Saccharomyces cerevisiae S288C: one gene and its partner. The gene in region 1 interacts genetically with each later gene. Each region holds a gene or a part of one and is shown on either strand. Other genes may lie near its edges.

Region 1 (12,697 bases):
TGTATTTGGTAAATGTCGTAAACTGAAGCGTATATTAACACATGACGTCTACGTGGAAAATGCATATTTAGAATTTCAAAATCAAAACGATTATAAGACTGCTTTTAAGGTTTTAGAATTGGGTTTAAAATACTTCCAAAACGATGGAGTTTATATCAACAAATACTTAGATTTTTTAATATTTTTAAATAAGGATTCGCAGATCAAAACCTTATTTGAAACATCAGTGGAAAAAGTGCAAGATTTAACCCAGCTGAAGGAAATATACAAGAAAATGATAAGTTATGAATCGAAATTCGGTAACTTAAACAACGTTTATTCTCTAGAGAAAAGATTTTTCGAACGGTTCCCCCAAGAAAATTTGATTGAAGTTTTCACAAGTCGTTATCAAATTCAAAACTCCAACTTAATAAAGAAATTAGAGTTAACTTATATGTATAATGAGGAAGAAGACAGTTACTTTTCTTCTGGAAACGGGGATGGCCATCATGGCTCTTACAATATGAGTTCGTCAGATAGAAAGAGACTAATGGAGGAAACTGGAAACAATGGAAACTTCTCCAATAAGAAATTCAAAAGAGACTCAGAGCTTCCAACAGAGGTTCTTGATTTATTGAGCGTTATACCAAAACGTCAATATTTTAATACAAATTTACTCGATGCGCAGAAATTGGTGAATTTTTTAAATGATCAAGTAGAGATTCCAACAGTTGAGAGCACCAAGTCAGGTTAACATTACGTTAATAAATAGGTATATATGAATATTTATACCAACACATCTATTATAATAGGCGAACCTCTGTATGTAATTAAGTAAAAAAAAAACGATGTGACAGGATAGTTAAGGTGCCTCGTACATAAATAAAAACGGAAATAGTTAATTCTTTCAAAAATATGGCAATAGCCAAACTCATTCAGAAGGTACAGGAAACACTCTGTTTCTGTGCGTTTATATAACCATGCTTATAAAAGAAAGATTGAACAAAATATACATGAATTTATGAACGGTAATCACCGTTAATTGTTACATATTCATGTGATAAATCACAAGTCCAAAATTGTGCTGCCTGATCACCGGTTCCCAAGTCGACAGACACTTCCAAATCATTCAAAGCCAATATTTCAGAAGCCCTTGTTTCATCGATCTCCAATTGTGGCACACCATTAGCGACAAGCTTCAGCTCACGAGGTTCTGAATTGTCGGTAGCAATAAAGCTAACATTAATTTTGTTGACATCTAGAGATTTTAAGTCATTCAGCTTTGCATACCCGATCGCGCACAATATTCTTCCCCAATTGGCATCTTGCCCATATAGTGCGGTTTTGACCAACATAGAGTTTGAGATTGATTCAGCAATTATTTTGGCGTCTTCAAAATGCAAAGCATTTTTAACGTTAACAGTAACAAACTTTGTCGAACCTTCACCATCGCGAACGACTAACTGGGCCAAGCGCTGAGCAAATTCTGTGACCTGCAATTTTACTTGTTCAAAATCTTTAGAGTCTTCGTTAATTTCTTTGGTGTCAATAGCACCGTTGGCCAACATGCAAATTGTGTCATTGGTGCTCATATCACCGTCCACCGATATACAATTAAATGAACGGGTAGTAGCGAAAGTCAGCATCTTCTGCAACGCCTTGCTTTCAATAGGAAGATCTGTAACTATGAAACCTAATAAGGTAGCCATATTCGGACAAATCATACCCGCGCCCTTTGCCATACCTGTCAAAGTATACTCAGTACCACTAGGTAATTTGAATCTAGATGTAACTAATTTTGGGAAAGTATCAGTAGTACAGATTGATTTGGCTACGTTCAACCAAGAGTTAAAATCACTGCCGAACTTTTCTTCTCCAAAAATTTTATTGATACCAGTGCTGATCTTGTCCATCTGTAGTCGTTGTCCAATAACGCCTGTAGACATGACTAGGGTAGAATTTTTTTGACCAATTTTATCGTTAACCAAATCAATCATTACTTGGGCATCTTTCATACCAAGATCACCTGTGACCGAGTTAGCACAACCGGAATTGACTACAATAGCGTTGATGTTTTTACCACGAGCAGTTTCAAGGACTTTTTTCGATGTCAAAACTGGCGCAGCTTTGAATTTATTGGTCGTGAAAACAGCTGCTGCGGTTGAAGGACGAGATTTATTGGTATTCAAGATTACACCCAGGTCCAGGCTCCCGTTTTTTTTGACTCCAGATGCAGTGTAGCCTACTTCAAATCCTTTAGGAAAAGAGCCCGTCTTGGGCACGTATAATGCATACTTATCTATAAGCTGCTTCGAGCGTTGAAGCAATGTTGATGATATTCTCATGCTATGTTGAATTTTGGACTTCTTTAAATAAAGGGAATAGAAGTATTGCTGATACTAGCCCAAAAATCGTCACCTTTGTGCGGCGAGCCGAGGATGAGGCTTTTATATACTCGACGACTAAAGAAGTTGGCAACGAATTACGCAGTGAGTCATCCTACCTGTCCATCGCAGTAGAAAAAGACCTTCGCCAAGAAAACACCGTCAATAATGATTGCTAAGCACTCTCACTTAGTACTACTATCAACGCTACCTTCAATTTGGGTCTAACCACGGCCCTATTGCATCACTACTCTCTTTATTCTATGATACAGCGTGGGGGTGAAGCCAAGAGCCCTGTGTTTTACTTCAGCATACCAACAAAGTATAAGATTACTTTTGCTATACAGCGATGAAAAATGTATTTTAATGTTTGTAAATTTATGATCTACTGACACGTCTCAGACAGATCACATTTACAACACAGCATGCTATGACTATATACAAAACATGACTTTTCTTTATCACTAAAAGTAACTGCCAATTTATTGTCGAATCTCGCTATAGTTTGATTTTCACCAGCGGCGCGCGCAAGTATAAGCTAAGAAACAATGAATATAGATAGATAGTGATGAGCGTTGAGAACCGGGAAATGAGTAGAGACGTCCTTCTAAACAAAGATTTATACGGTTGAGACAGATTCATTGAGGAAAAGAGGAGAATGGTTAGCATGATCCATATTGTGGTGTTTTTGCTAGCAATCACAACCATGTTCGAAATACTTCCGCTAATAACCGTCCCCGTGACCAAGTACCTATCGTTATCGTCATTCAGAAACCACTATTATGGCCTGTTTGGCTGGTGTGTACGTGGTCAAAACCAAGAATTGATGTGCACGAAAATGAAGATAGGATATGACAGTACAGATGTCGACTCCTCCGGGCACGTTTTGACCCTGCCATCGAACTCAAAAGTGGTCGTCTCCAATTTATTAGTGGTTCACCCGATTTCACTGGCATTCACAGGAACGCTATTAATTTTAGCAGTGATTATCATGGTAACTCCACTAGGGGACTCACCTGAGATGTTATTGTTCACGGCCCTTTTTTCGCTGCCAACGTTCATGCTATGTCTTTTATGTTTTTTGGTAGATATTCTTCTGTTCATCTCCAAACTGGACTGGCCCGGCTGGCTAATGCTAGCCGCTACTATTAGCGTAGCACTTTGTTGTTCCATGCTGTGGGTCATGAGAAGAGTTGTGTCAGTCAAAAAATATGAATCGCAACAGTCAATTGCGCATGCGTGCTCAATGGAACAGTACTCAATTTCCGACATTTACCAGAGTAAACAGAACGGCAATAGCTCAGAATATGAAGTGGCTCCAACACATACAGATAGTCTGATTGCTCCAGAAGTGACATATAGAGGGTTCATTGAATAAGTAACATCATGTGTCATTTTGCACGTTACATCGGTTTGCCAATCGGCTTCCAAATATTTGTACATTTTTTTCTTCCTCCATCACTATCTGTTAAGGGTCTTAGAAAATGATTACTACAGTGCAAGAAATCAGCAAATGGAGAAACCTGTGCTTCATTAGGATGCAATCTCGCAAATGGTACCCAGTACTTAAAAAGACTCCTTTAGTAGCGGACGGTCGAAAGATCATTAAACATGCCGATAAAGTTCCTCATCCGGAAGAAATAATTCACCCATTTTACCAACCAACAGCAATAGAACAATTCACGGCATGCGCTACGGAATACAATCCTAGCCTGCTTGATGGCAAAAAAATTGCTCCATCACTGATAAAACACCCGGTGAGCCTAAAAACCATACTAGTTGATAGCAAATTAAAGTTTGATGATATTAGGGGAGTGAATAAATGGTTGATGGAATTCGTTGCAAGACGACAACATCAAAGAAATATTGTACTTACACCTGCGAGCAAAAGCGTTAGATCTTTTCACGTTCTGCATTTGTCTTCAACCGATATTGCCAAATTAAGAGGTCTTGAAAATATATTATCAGAGATTGAAAACACGAATGATTTGCAATCCAGGGTCGAGTCCGTAAATAATGAACTACAGAATATTTTTGACCGCGACAGTAAACAGACAAGATTATTTTGCGAGAATATACTGGCTTATTTGATAAAGAATTATGGAAACTCGACTGAAAAACTTATACTACTAATAAATGTTACTGAGATGCAATTATATTCACGTTTAGACCAAATGAAGGCCATGAACATTATTTTATATAATATCCTTTGTAAAGTGGAAGCAAATGAAAACCCACCGTACAGTCCCACATTGGTTACCGCACTAGAAAACCTATTGGCAGCGATCAACAACAGATTTTTTCCAGGGCGTTGCGAAAATTCATTGCACCCAATAGTAATTGAACAACTATTATCATATTTCATTAAAACCGGCAATTTGAATGAAAGCAAAAATTTTTTGGGCCATTTAATAAAAAAGGGTATTTTACCAGAGGCTACTATCATTAATAGATATTTGGAGGCAATTGATGTTCATTTCGATAAAAGCACTAAGATTTTTGATATAAGATCCAAATTTGCATTCATAGCAGATCTTGCACCCATAATAGAAAATTATGGAACAATAGACCTGTTCAAATTTTTGATACCTATGTGCCGGCATTTCGACGAATTGTGTTCTCTGCTAAATATTATTCGAAAATCCAATAACGCAAAACGGGCTGTGGATAGCACCTTACCTATTTTTATCAAAAAAGTATTAACATTTACTAAAGATCCAATGATCAACTCCGGAAATCTATCCACTGTTTTCAATATAGTGAGCCCAATATATGGACAAAACGTGCCCAGCGAATTCGTGGAGAAATTTATACTGTCTTTTGCACTTCAAGGAAATTACACTATGATGGCTCATATGATAGATACATATAAGATCAAACTAAGTCATAAATACCAACTACAAATTATTAGGGCTCTCAAAAATAGTGAGAGAAATCACGCGCTTAAGAATACGGGCGCTGTAGGTTATAATAAGGAATTTAAAAAGTACTTCATCGAGAAATATTTGAATTGCACTGAACGAGAAGCTTTACGCCCATAAATCGTCTATATTAAAAAAAAGGCAGCATAAGAGCAACTCACTGCAAAGGGAATTGCGCATTCCACGCAAATAAACAATGTAAATAAGAATACGTACTGTAACTGTGTCACACTAGCGGGTTGTTTTATCATAATTGTTTGGGATTAATCCTGAACAAATTTTCTATATATAAACACTGGTTCGGAATACCAATGAAGTATACATATTCTGGTTCAACAACTGTTTCTATTCAAAAACTTTGAATGTTTGAAATGCGCTACGTCTATTTGTTTGCAATTTGTATTAAGTTTGTTTCAAGCTCCGAACTAGGAAAAATCAACAATCTGCTGCAAGGAAGATTGATATACACAGATAATTCCGTTGCGACAAATGTATTAGAATCCAAATTTCCATTCTTGAAATCAACATGTGTTAAAGACGCACTAAAATTATTTTTGCCACAATGTATTGCAAATGGACTTGAATCCATTGACGCTGAAACAAGGGTAGAAACGGCCATTAAACTTTCAATATGCGAGTTTCAGGCATCTGGCTTGGGCGAAATACCAGAAAATTGCATGGTTGACGACCTAGGATCAATGATGGATTGTATGTTTGAACTAGAATCATCTTCACAGTGGTGGACAACTTATAGTGGAAATTATCAGCGACTATCGAGTATTTGTTATGAAAATCTTCTTCCTTTTGAAAAAGAACAGATACTGAAACTTTTTCTAAATATCACTGAACTTTATGATTCATTTGGGGATGATGTCGATACTAAGTTAAATCATCTGATGTTTCAAATGGAGCAAGATTCTCAAAATTTTTTGGACGATCTGGCCAGGATGTTCCGCAACTATGACAATGAACTGCGAAATGCGACCGAAAGCAATCGAATAATCTTAGAAAACGACCTCTCATTTTTTAGAAATAAAGTGAATGATGTACTCTATGAAACTTCCGAACAACTAGAGGTCCAAATCATAGAGAAGAACAGTCAACTAATGAATGAAGTTGATACCGTCCATCATATTATGAGCGATCTAGCCGATGAGCTTGCTAAAAATGACATAAAATCTAAGATAAATGACTTGAAGGACGACAGCCTGAATAATTTACAGGACCTAGTGGAAATGTCCAACGACGTAAAAGAATATTACTCTAGAAATAACAAGTTAGTTAATACCGAGTTGGAAAACTTCTCGATGGGTTTAAAAAAACAGTTAGGAGGCATGTCAAAGGATCTTTCTGAATCACAAATGGAAGCTATAGAGCTCTTGCAAGGGTTCAATTCCATCCTTCATGATTCATTGTTACCATCCATGACGGATGAGATAGTACCTGAGATGACGAACTTCAAAAATACCTTACTACAAGAATGGACAGCTATAACATCTACACTAAATGGAGATTTTGCTTTATGGAATGAGGAGATTTTTTCAACTTTTAATGATATTTCAGAGAAACTGAATGGCACAAAAAAAAAATTAGACGACATTGAAATCAGAGTCTCACTTGTCCATAAAAATGTCATGACAATGATGAGGGTATTGGATTTTATGTGGAAAACTAGTAAAATGATTATAAGATGTGGGTACCTTGCAGTCAAGAATAAATACTACTGGTTACTGTGCTCCGTTGTGTGGATTTGGTCAAAATACCGTACGTCTCGAGTAAACGTCAAAATGATTCCTATTAAACGCTATTACCAATGGGCAGCTCTTCTACTTTCAATTTATCTAGGAGCTAAGACTGGCTCATTGATTGATTTTTAACATTACCGATGTAACAATATATGAAAGCCTATATATACATAGATGTATAGGTATATAGCCGCATTCAAAGTCTAGCAAAATAAATATTCTTTAAAAATTCAAGGACACCGGATCATGGTGGCCATAATACGGGCAAGTGAACCTAGAGAAGGTGTCCTACGTCACTATCCAAGTTAATTTGCTTAAGAGAGTTCGAGTGCAGCACCTACAGCTTTATCATTGAAGACGAAGCAAAAAGATCTTGAGATTCTATATCATGGGCACAGGTAGTATTCATTAGGTAGTAGTAACGTATTAAACAAGGCCATACTATATTTATAACTCATGTTCAAATACAACCGCTCACTCTGTAGCAGCGCTTTGATAGCAAAGTCTCAGATTCGTTTTTATAGATTGAAGCGGGCGCCATTGAATTATGCCTCCCATATACCTGAAGTTCTTAATAAGACCATCATAGGGCCAGACGAACCAGAAAAATGTCTCATTTTGAAAGGAAAAACATCAGAGGAAATCGAAAATAATCTTCTCAGTAATAAGAAATTTCAGGAGATCAATCCTCTTGATACTATCCAGGAAACGTTCATTCAATATCTGAAATTTTGTAATGAAACTAACTTTAAAAGAAGTAACAAGAATTTAAACAGATTAAAAAAAACCTTAGAAAGCAAGGACTCTAATAGCACCGTAAAAATTAATGCAGTTTTCAATTATTTGCTCGAAGAGTGTGATTTAGAAATCAAAAGATTGAACACGACCGGCCAAACCCAGGTATACAATGAAGAGAAAGGAAATGAAGATGACTTAGAGCAATCCATAATGAACGATATTTTCCGATCAGCACAAGAACAATTTGAAGATCAAGAGGGCCATATACCGTTAAGGAGTACATCATTTTTACTGGAGATTTTGAAAAGTTTTAATGAACGGTTTAATGGCATAATCAAACCGAAAGAGTCAATAACAGAAATGGTCACATTCAGCCAACTTGCTCAAGCTTTTGAAGTTGTTAAATTGATACCAGTGCAAGAAATGAAGGAGAAAGGGATTTACTTGGTCGGAAATTTACTTTATGGCACAGGGAAAGTTCGTTTAGATCCTATAAATGAGTCATTCTATATTGAATCCCTACTAGTTTTTGGAAACTATAAGGCTGCATACAGTTTATTTATTACCAATAAAGACAAAGTAAACGAGCGCTGGTGGAATGAACTAGGATTAATGATCACATTAAGGTCTAACCACTTGAGAAACTTCAGGAAACTTTTAGCCGAGACAGATGCAAAGTACTCAACAAAGTATTCTTATTTGAGCCCAAGAGTTACCAAATTGAGCATACGAAAATATTTGTCGATTGGCAATGTTACTGAAGCTAATATACTGACTGATCGATTTATTAAGTTAGTGGAAGAAGTTGGAATAATCAGAATGAAAGATGAGCAGGAGGAACTTCCCACGGGAGTTAAAAATTTTCAGAATGAGAAACATGCAACTGAGTTCTTAAATGAACTAGAAATACCATCGGATCATGATTATATCAGCATTGTTGATTTCCATCTTTATAAGAGAAATATTCCCATGGCGGCTCAACTTATCAGCAAGTACATGGAAATACCTGGAACGACACAAGAAGATGCCGCATTTCTACTTGTTAAAACCAAGCTAAATATGTTGAAAGATTTTGAAAAGCTACGAAACATTTTTGCTCAAAATAAAGATTATGTAGTGCCTGAGAATAATGTGAAAATGTTGCAAGAGGCATTTGAGAGCGTTATTACTAAGTATAACACTAATTCTCCAATATACAATGAATTGCTGTTTGAGAATGTTTCGGCCTTAACAAAAAGTATTGTATTAACTGATTTTCTGGAAGAGTTCATTACTAAACAGGCTTCTGGACAGTGGATGGAATTAAACAGTGTGTCACGTTCCAGAAAGTTTAATGGCTTGTTGAACATACTTCTCGGTACAGGTGAAGAAGAAAAAGCATATAATATCTTAAAAAAACTAGAAGAAGCCTCAAAGAAATCAAAAACAGATCCAGATTTACTCTATAATCAGTTTTATTCGGAAGTTAATGCATATCATTACGCTAAATTTGTTGAATTTTATAGTCTTCAAATTCAAAATATGAAGGCACAAAATACGCCCTCATTTAGAAAAAAGGAATTTAAGCAGAAAGTGAAGTCACTTTTAAAAAGAATGCAGGAGTCAGAGGTTATCCCAAATGCTGTTTTTTTGAGAGAAATACTCAATTTTTATGATAGCATGTATGACTTTAATTCAAGTTTTGAGATCATCAATCCGCTACTTGAATCCAAACAACAGGTGAGCTCTGAGTCTTCATTATCCACCTCAAACCCTTGCCGATTTTACAACCGTCGCATCATAACAAAACCGCTGTACCACAAGATTTGGTCTGTGTATTGCCATTATTATCATGTTTTACAAAATAATTCTAGGATTTTATCGAAAAAGTCGTCCATTGTAAAGAAATTAATAAAAAGGCAGATAAAGATTCACCCAACTTGTCACCCAAGAGTATTGTTCCAAATGACGGCAGAAAATGGTGAAATTTTGCCAGACAAAACTTTTTCTAAATTAATTGTGTCCACGTTCATGAAAAGCGGGGATTTAGAAGCAATACCTGCCATATTAACGTTTCTAACGAAAAAATTTGACTTGAATATTGATTACGATTTGAGTATGTATATTCTAAAGGGTTTGAAAAGACAATATTTACGAGATATTAGTAACATCAGTAAAGATGCTTGTGAGTACAAGTTACGGAAGGCGGAGCTAATGAATAATGAGTCAATCTTAAAAAACATTCCACAGGGTACAAATCAAGAGAATACAATATCCCATTTGATCAGGGAGATTTTGATCTTTATAAAATGGAAGGAAAAAAGTGATTGTTCTACTTTCTTGATGGTAGAAGATGCTTTTAAAGAATTAGGAACAGAGTTTACTTTACTCGAAGAATTAATAGAAGATGTAAATAAGTTAAAGATAAAAGCCTAAAAAAACGGATGCATTTTATATAATTTTAGCTATACGTGTACATATTTGTAATAAAGTTAAAAGAGGAGACTGTTTAGCTTTGTATTTATTTTTTACTTAATTTCATCCATTTAGGTACTCTATTTAAAGTCTTTTTGATACTTGTAGCGTTATCAGAAGGGCCCTGTGGATTGGATTTATTTATCGTATTAACTGATGGGGTTGTCCTCGTTTCGTGTGTGATTTTTTGTGCGTCTTCCAAAAGATGAGCCTTTATTAATGGGCCATTAGAATTTGAATTTGTTTCAAAAAGCAGCATTGTTTTAGAGCCAAATTCCAGGTCATCCAGTAGCTTCTTATCGTCTTTAGCCAAGGGTTTGAAAGGATGAGATTGGTTTAACGTAAAAGGCATGTTCTCATCGATCAGGAACTGCGACACGACGTTATAAACTGTACGCATGTCTTCATTGGGTTTGAATGCTATTTGAATATGGCTTCTATCGGGGAACTTGACTCTCAGCAAACACTCAGATATAGCCTTATTTTTCTTTGGCAAGTTGTTGGCTGATTGCTCTCTAAGTCTCTTTGTCAAAATAGGACCACCCAAAGTACCAGCCTTCGATGATAACATTTTTTGGTATTTCTTGGCTTGTTCTACTGTCAATTCATAATCTTCTTCATCCTCGATTTGATCCTTGATAACTGCTAATGGCTCATCCGAGGGCAAAAACACAGAAGGTTTATGTAGTTCGTGAGGTGGTAGTGAAGCAACCGTTTCCGGGTTCGTCATCGTAGGGGGAGTTTGTTTTGGGTGAATAGCGCTATTAGCGCTAATGCCCTCAGAATGAGATGTATTATTAAAAATCAATCTAACTGACGAAGGCTCCTGAATCCCTAAATTTTCGAGAGTCAAATTCTCATCCTTAATTGTTTTGAACTCTATTATCTTGGAAAAGACCTGGATCTTAAAATCATCTCCCGCAGCGCCGCTCATCTGTCGCAAGATAGGGGCAATTGGTTGGTCAGATGGCATTTCTTTAACCACGGAATCTCTTCCTGGGATTTGAAACCGTATTTTGATCGTATTGAATGGAATATCTTCGCGGTTGGTCTTATTCGCCACCGGAAAATTACTACTTTTAGATAATTCTAAGTTGACACCCGTTGGTAAGTTTAGAAGCCTCCATGGCAAATCTAATGGCACCGGTTTATCCAAATGTATCAATGACCAGTCGTTTGACGAGGTGTGCAGTTGAAAGAATTGTATGGATTGGTGTAACACATCGTTTAGTGTTGAATTCAACGAAACTTTACATTTGAAAAGTTGGAAGTTATACTTCACGGTAACCATAGGCATTGTATTGTGCGCTTATTAGTCTGCCTTGCTATTCTTCGCAGTACGTAGATTTATCTTAGTTTTTGCATTTTTTGGTTTTCTTTTTTTTTTGCCACACATAGTACAATAAAAGAGAACTTGAATCTTTGAAGAAACGTCTAAATTAACATCGAAGATAGAAGACAGGGAAACATCTAGGATTGCAAGAAATAGTGCTGAAATTTTGTAATAAAGTTGCAAGAAATAGCATCTAGCGTTTTATAAGGCGTACATCTTTCTTGGCAAGAGTTCCAAGAGAAAAGAGGAGCAAAACAGCGGTTGAGGCGCCCGCTATCTTGAATATTATACAGTTTCTTTAAAAACGCTTGTACAACACTGCATAAACATGGACAAATTATTGAAATTGTTTCAAGATATTTCCCATATCATATTCCAATAGCGTTACTCTCTCATCGCTTATTCTGGAATCATTATTTTAATAAAGATAACTCACACGATATACGTGTACTGAGCTGACCTTTATACCTACCCTTACCTGCTTATTCCTGATAAAAATGTTCGTGCAACTAATTGTTTGATTTCTCTTGCGGCCCGGTTATTCCGGAGTTGATACTTTTTTTCTTCTGTCTTAATTACGTTTTTTTCCTCTAGACTTTTTTGATCTGGTACAATTGAAAATGTATAAATCAACTGGACCCTAAAAATAAAAAAAAAAAACGCCCATTAGAAAAGAGGATATATTGAACAAAAGATGTTGAAAGAGCCCTCAGTTCGCTTGCGGGAGGCTATTATTGAAGGCAATTTACTTATAGTGAAAAGATTATTGCGACGGAATCCGGATTTGCTAACCAACATAGACTCAGAGAACGGATGGAGTTCATTACATTACGCCTCATACCATGGAAGATACCTTATATGCGTGTATTTAATTCAGCTGGGGCACGACAAGCATGAACTAATAAAAACCTTTAAAGGAAACACCTGTGTGCATTTAGCATTAATGAAAGGGCACGAGCAAACCTTACATTTACTTTTGCAACAATTTCCGCGATTTATCAACCATCGCGGAGAGAATGGTAGAGCCCCCATCCATATAGCATGTATGAACGATTACTACCAATGTCTGAGTCTGTTGATAGGAGTTGGTGCTGATTTATGGGTAATGGACACTAATGGCGACACGCCGCTGCATGTATGCCT
Region 2 (7,792 bases), on another chromosome or scaffold:
AAAATTGCTTTGTAAACAGATTATTAAGTACCGCTCTATTTACCCCATAACGAAAAGAAGTTCCGCGCTTAGGACACCTTTCCCTAGAGGTTCTTGTTTGATTTGTTTTAGTCATCTGCCTGTCGTTTATTTTAGTTTCGCAGTATTAACAGCGAGCAGTACGAAAAAAGGGTCTTGAAAACGTTGGACAAAATGCCCATTCTACAAGGCGCTTTAAAGAACAGCTCAAAGTAGATTCACATCACTGCAATTCTTGTTTATTGCAATATCTTTTCATGGATTTAAGTTTCACGACTAAAAGTGTCAAAATTAATGGTCAAAACCATCGAATATTACTGCAAAACGAAAACGGACCTTGTGCCTTGTTAGCACTTGCAAATATTCTAATACTTTCACCAGATCATACACGTTTTTCCAATGAGTTAATAAGGTTGGTAAATAAGGGAAGTCAAATATCTTTAAAAGAACTTATTGAAGTCTTAGCAGATATCGCTTTACAAGTTACAGATAAACCTAGTACTGATATAAGTGAGTTACTAAGTTTGTTACCTAGATTACATGAAGGTTTAAATATTAACCCTGAGTTTAATGGGTCTTTTGAAAATACTAAAGAGATGTCAATATTTCGATTGTTTAACGTTGATGTTGTCCATGGCTGGGTTATCAACAGTTTCATAAATGAAAACATTGATGAGAAACTATCTCATTATTCTTATGAATCTGCGCAGAGAATCTTAACACAAGCAGCTGATATAAATTGTGGAATTTCCCAAGATGAAAACTCGGACGAAGTTTTACGTGATGCCATGCATTTGGGTCTGTTTTTGAACGAATCACCGACTCAGTTGACCGCCTTTGGACTCCTACGATTGAGAGAAAAGCTGCTACACAACAAATTCTCCATTTTATTCAGAAATGACCATTTTTCTACATTGTTCAAATACGAAGATCGATTATACACATTGGTTACGGACTTTGGTTATAAAAATTGTAAAGATATTGTATGGCAATCCCTAGATTCGGTGGACGGCTCCTGCGATGCTTTTTTTGCCGGTAACTTTAGTGCAGCAGAGGTAAATGGACAGCAATTGTCAACTGACATTGAACGTGATTTTGGAACTGGAAATTTGCTACTTGAAGAAATTCAGCAAATTGAAAACGATAAAGAACTAGCCAAACAGTTACAGGAACAAGAACAAGAACGTGTTACGAAATTTGAAGCAAAAAGGAAAATCCATTCTCACAAAAAAAACTCAGAAATACACGCACCAGTCAAAAAAGACAAGTTTAAGCGAAGAAGCAGCCTTCTCAATGCAAAAGCTTCTGAAAAAGAGAAAAGTGAGTGCGTTGTTATGTAAGAGCTGTTCACTTGTTTTTATCGTATATCCTCGCGTAAAACATGATTAATCAATCTGTTCGCTTTAAGGAAGATCTCATAAGGACACCGACTCTCTAATTATTCTGGAGATATGTGGACCCCTACAGGCGTGATTTTCTGTCTAAACATTGCCACATAAAACAGGCTTGACATTATATTGGCCATTTGATTTATACTTGTTTCAGATCCTTTGTCGGGCCGGATTCTAAGAGCGCGCGCGAGGCGTCGAAATAAATCAAATAAGAACTAAAATACATAATTCTTGTCACAATGGATTGAATTTCAGTGCATAAGATTACATTTGTCGGAGCTATAATTCCATTACGGCAAAACAGAACTGAAACAAGTATATTGGCTATCTCTAGTATAAATTGTTGTAAAACTGACATCATATGGAACCAAAGTAGTAGACTCGCATTTGCAAACATATTTAAAATACTTGGAATAGATTTCACCAGCCTCAAGATAAATTTATAAACACATTAAATAACTAATAAATATATAAATACTTCTCCAAAAAATGACAGCAATGAAAGAAGACAACGCTGCATTGATTACACTGAAGAAAAACAACGACCAAGAAAAACTTAGAGTGCATAAACTGACAGATGCAAGTTCAAACTCTGCTGATGGGTTCGTTATAAATAAAGCCAAAAACGGTGGACCGCTTAATAAAAAGTCATTAGTTAATAATGAACAACACATTAAGAAGGCTGTGTCGCCTGGTAGAGTCAGGAAGCACAAAACGACAACATCTTCCACAAAATCACGAACGAAAAGTAAGAAAAAAGACGCTTCTGAAAGTAAAGTACAGAGAGAGAATAAGGGTTCATTTTACCAAGGTGCCATTTTCGGTTCGTTCCTTGGTGCTGCTGTAACTACTGTTTTAAGTAACCTAGCAGTTAAAGCTCTTCAAAATTAGTTTCATATACTCATGATTTCTAAACAGTAATTAGTTTTATCTGACTTATTTTTTTTTACGCACCTTTGCATGTACTCTTCCATGTATATCAATATTTGCTATTCTATTACTTATTTCTAGTAAAGTTGGCTCTACTCAGATTAGGTTTCCTGTTTTTGTAATTTGGTTTGTAATGATTTTTATTATTATCTTCAGAGCTCCCAAAAAGTACATCTTTTTCTTGTTGAGATAGCTCATATTCAAGTAATCCTACATCTCCCAATTCTCTTATAAAGTCCAAAAGTTGGGAGTTTTCGTTTGCGAATTCTCGCTGTATCAATTTCAAGTTCAAGTCAATCTTCGGATTTCCTCTCTGCACTTGATTTTGAATACTCTGTATAAATTGCTTTTCTTTCCTTGACTCTTTGAAAATGCTAGGTTGGCTCTTCAGTTCATCTTCCTTTATGCCCATTTCTTGCATATGTTTCTGTTTGTTATTGGATATTTTCAGTAGCCACATTTTTTTTCTTTCTTCTCTCCACTTTTTAACATCTTCATCAGTAATCAATGCTATGGAGGTTCCAGGAACCAAAACCACCTTACCCAACCCCTCTGATTCTAACTGCTCATCACGATCATCATCTTCTAGCCCTAAGTTATTATGATCATCTTCGGCATTAGAATTTGCCAGCTCGGGATCCTTTCTTGGGATTTCTGTAGGCTCCGCAGATGCTTGATCCTTGCTTGATGGTACTGGACTTATTTCATTCATAAACGTATCTTTCCCTCTGTTTTTCTCAATCAATTGTATTTCCTTTACGGTCGGTATTGCAACATCTTCATAACTAATTGATGTTTGGTAATCTTTATCATTCTTTAAGGCTTGAGTGTTTTCACAATATGATGATGGCCACTTCTGTAAATTAAGCGCTGGTGCATAAGATATATTCTGATGAACTGGCGGTATGTAATTTTCTGTATAATTGGGAGGACTCGTATAATTGTACTGAGTGGACGGTTGTATTGGATGGAAATATTGATTATGAGGGGCTACATGATGAAGTTGAGGAGTATAACCGGTATTCCATGAACCTTCATAATACGGAGAGTTCGGATACATATGAGGTGAGTAAGCTGCATTAAAAGCAGAGTCTGTTTTTTGCCTTTTAATTTTCGATTCATCATAGCCATCTGATAGCGTTCCGGAGTATGTAGGTTTGGGAAGCCTAGAATGTCCATCACCCTTCGAATTTTCAAAGTTATTATAATTCATAGTCCATGTCGCAATAAGCTAATCAAAATGGAAAAAGAGATTGACTTATGAGTTAAATATAATAGCATCAATGAAATTTTTAAGTTCCTATTAAGTAAAAAGCTATGCAATATAGAGATATTATGCTATTGAAAATTTTAGTTTGTTCCCCGACCGTGATGGACCATCAGCCGCACGCTCACCAAATTGAGACAGAAAAAAAAAAAAAAACAGCGATCGATATTATCATGATAATTGCTACTTCATCTAATATTTACACGCCTTTATACTGATTTTGCATTATGGTTTTAGTCAAATATACCCCTTGGCTTTTCTACTTGTGTTAGACCCAGCCCATCTTCCATCTCTTTATTGTCCTGTTTCTTGTGATTACTTGTGTCATTCTGGGAATTCAACAGACCTTGCATATGCTTCAATTTTTCTTTCTTGAGCATTCCTTTTCTATCGATATTGCTGCATGAAACCTCATCATCTGCAGCTGGTAACGCTTTTCCCCATGTCACAGTGGTGTCTGCCCTTTTTGCAAATGTAGATTGTTGGGTGGGGTCTTCAGTTTCATTACAAATATCTGCTATGGATCTTTTTAAAGAATTGCTCTCATTACGTGGACAGGCCACTTCATGAGTCGTACCAATGTCAAAACTTTGTTCCCGATTCATGTTCATATGAACTGAACTAGCCTGCCGGAACCGCTTATCTTGTTCGTAATTCGTACTTTGGCTTTGTTCTTCCACGAATAATTTTCTTGCCGTGTTATTTCTATAGGTCTTAGCAACTGTGCTTCCATTATCAGGGGTCAGATACGACACTTTCAAAGGACTGTTTCGAGTTCCAGCCACAGAGTGTGGCAGGTTTTCTCTCTTTAAAGCAGTTTTGCTTTTTAATGGACTTTCGCAGCTTTCTTTGTTGTCTTTCAGTCCGGCCTCTTCTTTGGAGCCAGAGATTGCTGTTTTTATGAATTTTCCTTCTAAAATATCATCGTTAATGTTACTGTCAGTAACTTCAACCAATTCTAATTTTACGCCCGGTTTTTGCATTTGCATAAGAATAGGGTCCCCTGGGTGGCAAAACCATAAACTTATATTATCATTTCCGTCCTGGGTAGTCTTCCAGGATGGACCTATCGTTATGAAGTTTTTGAAGTCCTTCAATTTGAATATTATACTTTTCATATGCTCTCTACGCTTACTATGTGATCGCTTATCTTGTTTTTCATCTTCGATTGTTGTAAATAAGCAATAATGCTCAAGATCGAGCGTACTGATAGTGTTACTCATGCTTAACGCATTTCTTAAAAGGTCGTTATTTTTGCCGTAGACGGCCTTGGTGAATGCAGTTATGCTTAGCCTATGTACGTTAATTTCCAATTTTACTTCATCGGTTACATTAACATTGCAGTTGTCTAAAAAATTCTTCAATAAAGTTGAATTACAACAAATGTAATTAATCTCATCAGCAGCCGTTAACTGATTCCTTTTACGTATGTCTGATTCCACTTCTTCGTTAAATAAGGCTGATGTTAGCTCACGCTCTGTATTTGTAAAAACGTCCAATAGCTTAGGGTCCAAGGGCTCCTGTGGATTCCGATCGGAGGCAGCAGTTCCAAAAACATCCAAAAACCTCCTTTTGTACTTAAGGTTGATTATTATGGGATCGTATTTTATTGGCTGGAATTGGGGACAGTATTCTTTGACTATTAACGAATCCATTTCAATCACCACAATCAATCTATTTGCAAGTGATTCAGGACAGGTAGAAGTGTTGTTTACCGCAATTGTGAATGATTTGATGCCATCACCATCCGGCTTTCTTGATATAGTTGTTAGGTGTCTTCCATTAACACGGAAGGAGTATAACTTATGACTATTGCCGTACGTATCTTCTATAACTTGAACCCCATTTTCTCCAAATACAATCTCATGTGGTTTAAACTCATACTCCTCAAAAAAGCTTTTCTGAAACCTAACCTGACAAAGAGTAGTATCTGTCTCGTTCATTGACCAAGCAATTAACTCATTTGTTGTCACTGTAATCTTGATATCATCCTGAATTGTAGATAACACATATATCGCACGAAACCAGATATTCTGCTTCCCCGACTCGGTGATAGTTGCCTTAAATGACATATATGTCTAAGCAAAGTTATGCTGTGTTATTGTTACACTAGCAATAGTATGTCAAATAATTTTGCAAATCATCTCTGGTCTATGATTACCTTTGGCGGCCTTTGATTCATTCGCGTCATTATTAAATATGCCGTCTCTTTCGGCAAATTGAGTGCACCGCAATAATATACTATGCAGAATAAAATACTTAAATTAATTATAGTTTACGTACGTAATCGCTGTCATTGAGAATTCACGACTTCGATTTTTTTATCGTTAAATGTCAGTGCTTTGGTCTCGAAGAAATTCATTTGGTTCTGGAGAATTTTTTGCTTTCGTTTTTAGTTTGTTTTTTGACTTTGACTTTTTCCCTTTCTTCTTCTTTTTTATAACTATAACTTCTTCAGTATCACTTAAATTATCCTTTTCATCTTTTACAATAAGATTGGCCTCTAAACGACTTAATTCTAACTCGTCTTCCTTTCTAAGGTTGCCCTCTTCCTGCGATCCTCTTCCTGCGTTACTCGATTGCCCAAAATTGGAAAAATCAAAATTTTCAAGTTGAGAGTGCATTCTCAGATTAATCTTGTCCTTTTTCAAAGGATTTTGAGTTGAATGATTATCATGGGGTTTCTGGAATGCATCTTTCCTTTTGGGAGCGGCTTCGATAACAGGTTCATCGGATAAGACTTGAACCCTATTTTTCTTCTTTCCCTTCTTCTTCTTTCTGCTGATTTCAGTTGTAGATAAACTTAGAGAATTCAACGAATTATCGGTTCTATTTAATCTAATAGTTTCTGGCTTTTTATCACTACTTTCCTCCTCATTCAAGTCCAACAAATCTTTAGAGTTCTTAGTTCTTTCTTCGTCTTCTTCACCTAGATAATAAGGATTTGACATCCGTTCCTTTTCTCTCTCAATCTCAAATGGATTTTCAAAATCATCCAATTTTTCCTTTTCTTCATACGAAGTATCAGAATCATCAACGAATTTTAGTTCAACTTGCTCGTCCATTGAGATATCAGACATTAAATCACTGATGGCGTCACTTTTTTGTTCATCTAAGAGTTCATCAGCTGCCTCCTTTGTCAAAAATGGAGTTTCTAGATCAAGATTCTCATCTACTGCTAACTTCAATTGAGTCCCACGCGCAATTGGTGCGAGTTCATAGGCGTTAAAAAAACTAGGCAGGACTTCGCTCAGTAGCATTGGTAGACCTTCCGTATCCTCCTCTAAAGCCTCCAAACTTAGTCTTAAAAATTCTAAAACTTCTACGCTTCTTTCCTGGACTTCGAATGTACTCGAATAAGATAAATTTTCAAAAAATTCAATTAGCTCTTTTAACACCATTTTAATTTCAAAGCGTTTATCCTCCTGAAAGTTATTACACCAATTACTAAATACTTTAACAAGTGCTAAAATTAAAACTTCTTGTACACTATGAGAATAATAACTGATATTCTCAGTCATGATTTTTATTAAGTCGTTACCATTTTCAACTAGGGTAGAAAATTCTCCGAGACACCAAATGCATTCTCTCAATACGGTAGGCAACTGTTTGTTAATATTGTCATTTGAAATAAGCTTTATAATATTAGCAATGGTTACTTCTCTCATTGAAGGAACTTTTATCATCAAATTCCTAAACTGTTCACCAATTTTTGATCCAAGGCTTTTATCAGATATGTCTTGACAGAGCATCGCCAAGTCCATTATTACTGCATTGTACCATTCAAAGTCGTTAACACTGGAATAGTTGTCAGCTGAACAAATCGATATAATGACGTTCACCATTTTTATCTTGTAATTTTCTGGAATTATTATGGGAATTCTCTTTGATTTTTCGTATACGATGCTTCCAGTTTGTAGGATAACCACATCTTCATCTACAAATTGCTTCATCAATGTTTGGACAATTGCCTTTAAGTTATCCTCATCAACAATACCTTCAACCAATTCAATTGCTTTTGATCTTATAGAAACGTCGACATCGGAGAGTAAGCGTATAATCAGTTGGTCGAACCGAGAAATAAAATCAGTATTGATTTTGCCGATCTTGTAAAACAATATGCAGCTAATATATCTCAAATTTGGATCCTGAGAATCACAAAATGTGTGCAATCTTTCCAGGCATG

What was found.
Region 2: mutations in KAR5 (region 1) and PRM3 together harm fitness more than expected from each alone (negative genetic interaction), as found in Saccharomyces cerevisiae (2 studies listed by BioGRID).

What each region holds. Positions count from the first base shown.
Region 1 is NC_001145.3:394,056-406,752, forward strand, and holds KAR5 (Kar5p), read left to right. Parts: upstream 1-5,646; coding exon 5,647-7,161; downstream 7,162-12,697. Other genes in the region: cleavage polyadenylation factor subunit RNA14, read left to right, coding at 1-733; ARG7 (glutamate N-acetyltransferase), read right to left, coding at 999-2,324; RIM9 (Rim9p), read left to right, coding at 3,022-3,741; AEP1 (Aep1p), read left to right, coding at 3,848-5,404; SOV1 (Sov1p), read left to right, coding at 7,486-10,182; UBX4 (Ubx4p), read right to left, coding at 10,268-11,518; AVO2 (Avo2p), read left to right, coding at 12,249-12,697.
Region 2 is NC_001148.4:177,163-184,954, reverse strand, and holds PRM3 (pheromone-regulated protein PRM3), read left to right. Parts: upstream 1-1,898; coding exon 1,899-2,300; downstream 2,301-7,792. Other genes in the region: MIY2 (ubiquitinyl hydrolase 1), read left to right, coding at 276-1,358; RSA1 (Rsa1p), read right to left, coding at 2,407-3,552; DDC1 (Ddc1p), read right to left, coding at 3,840-5,678; APL5 (Apl5p), read right to left, coding at 5,934-7,792. UniProt on the Saccharomyces cerevisiae protein: Required for the fusion of nuclear envelopes during mating, ensuring proper karyogamy. Plays a role in the initiation of outer nuclear envelope fusion.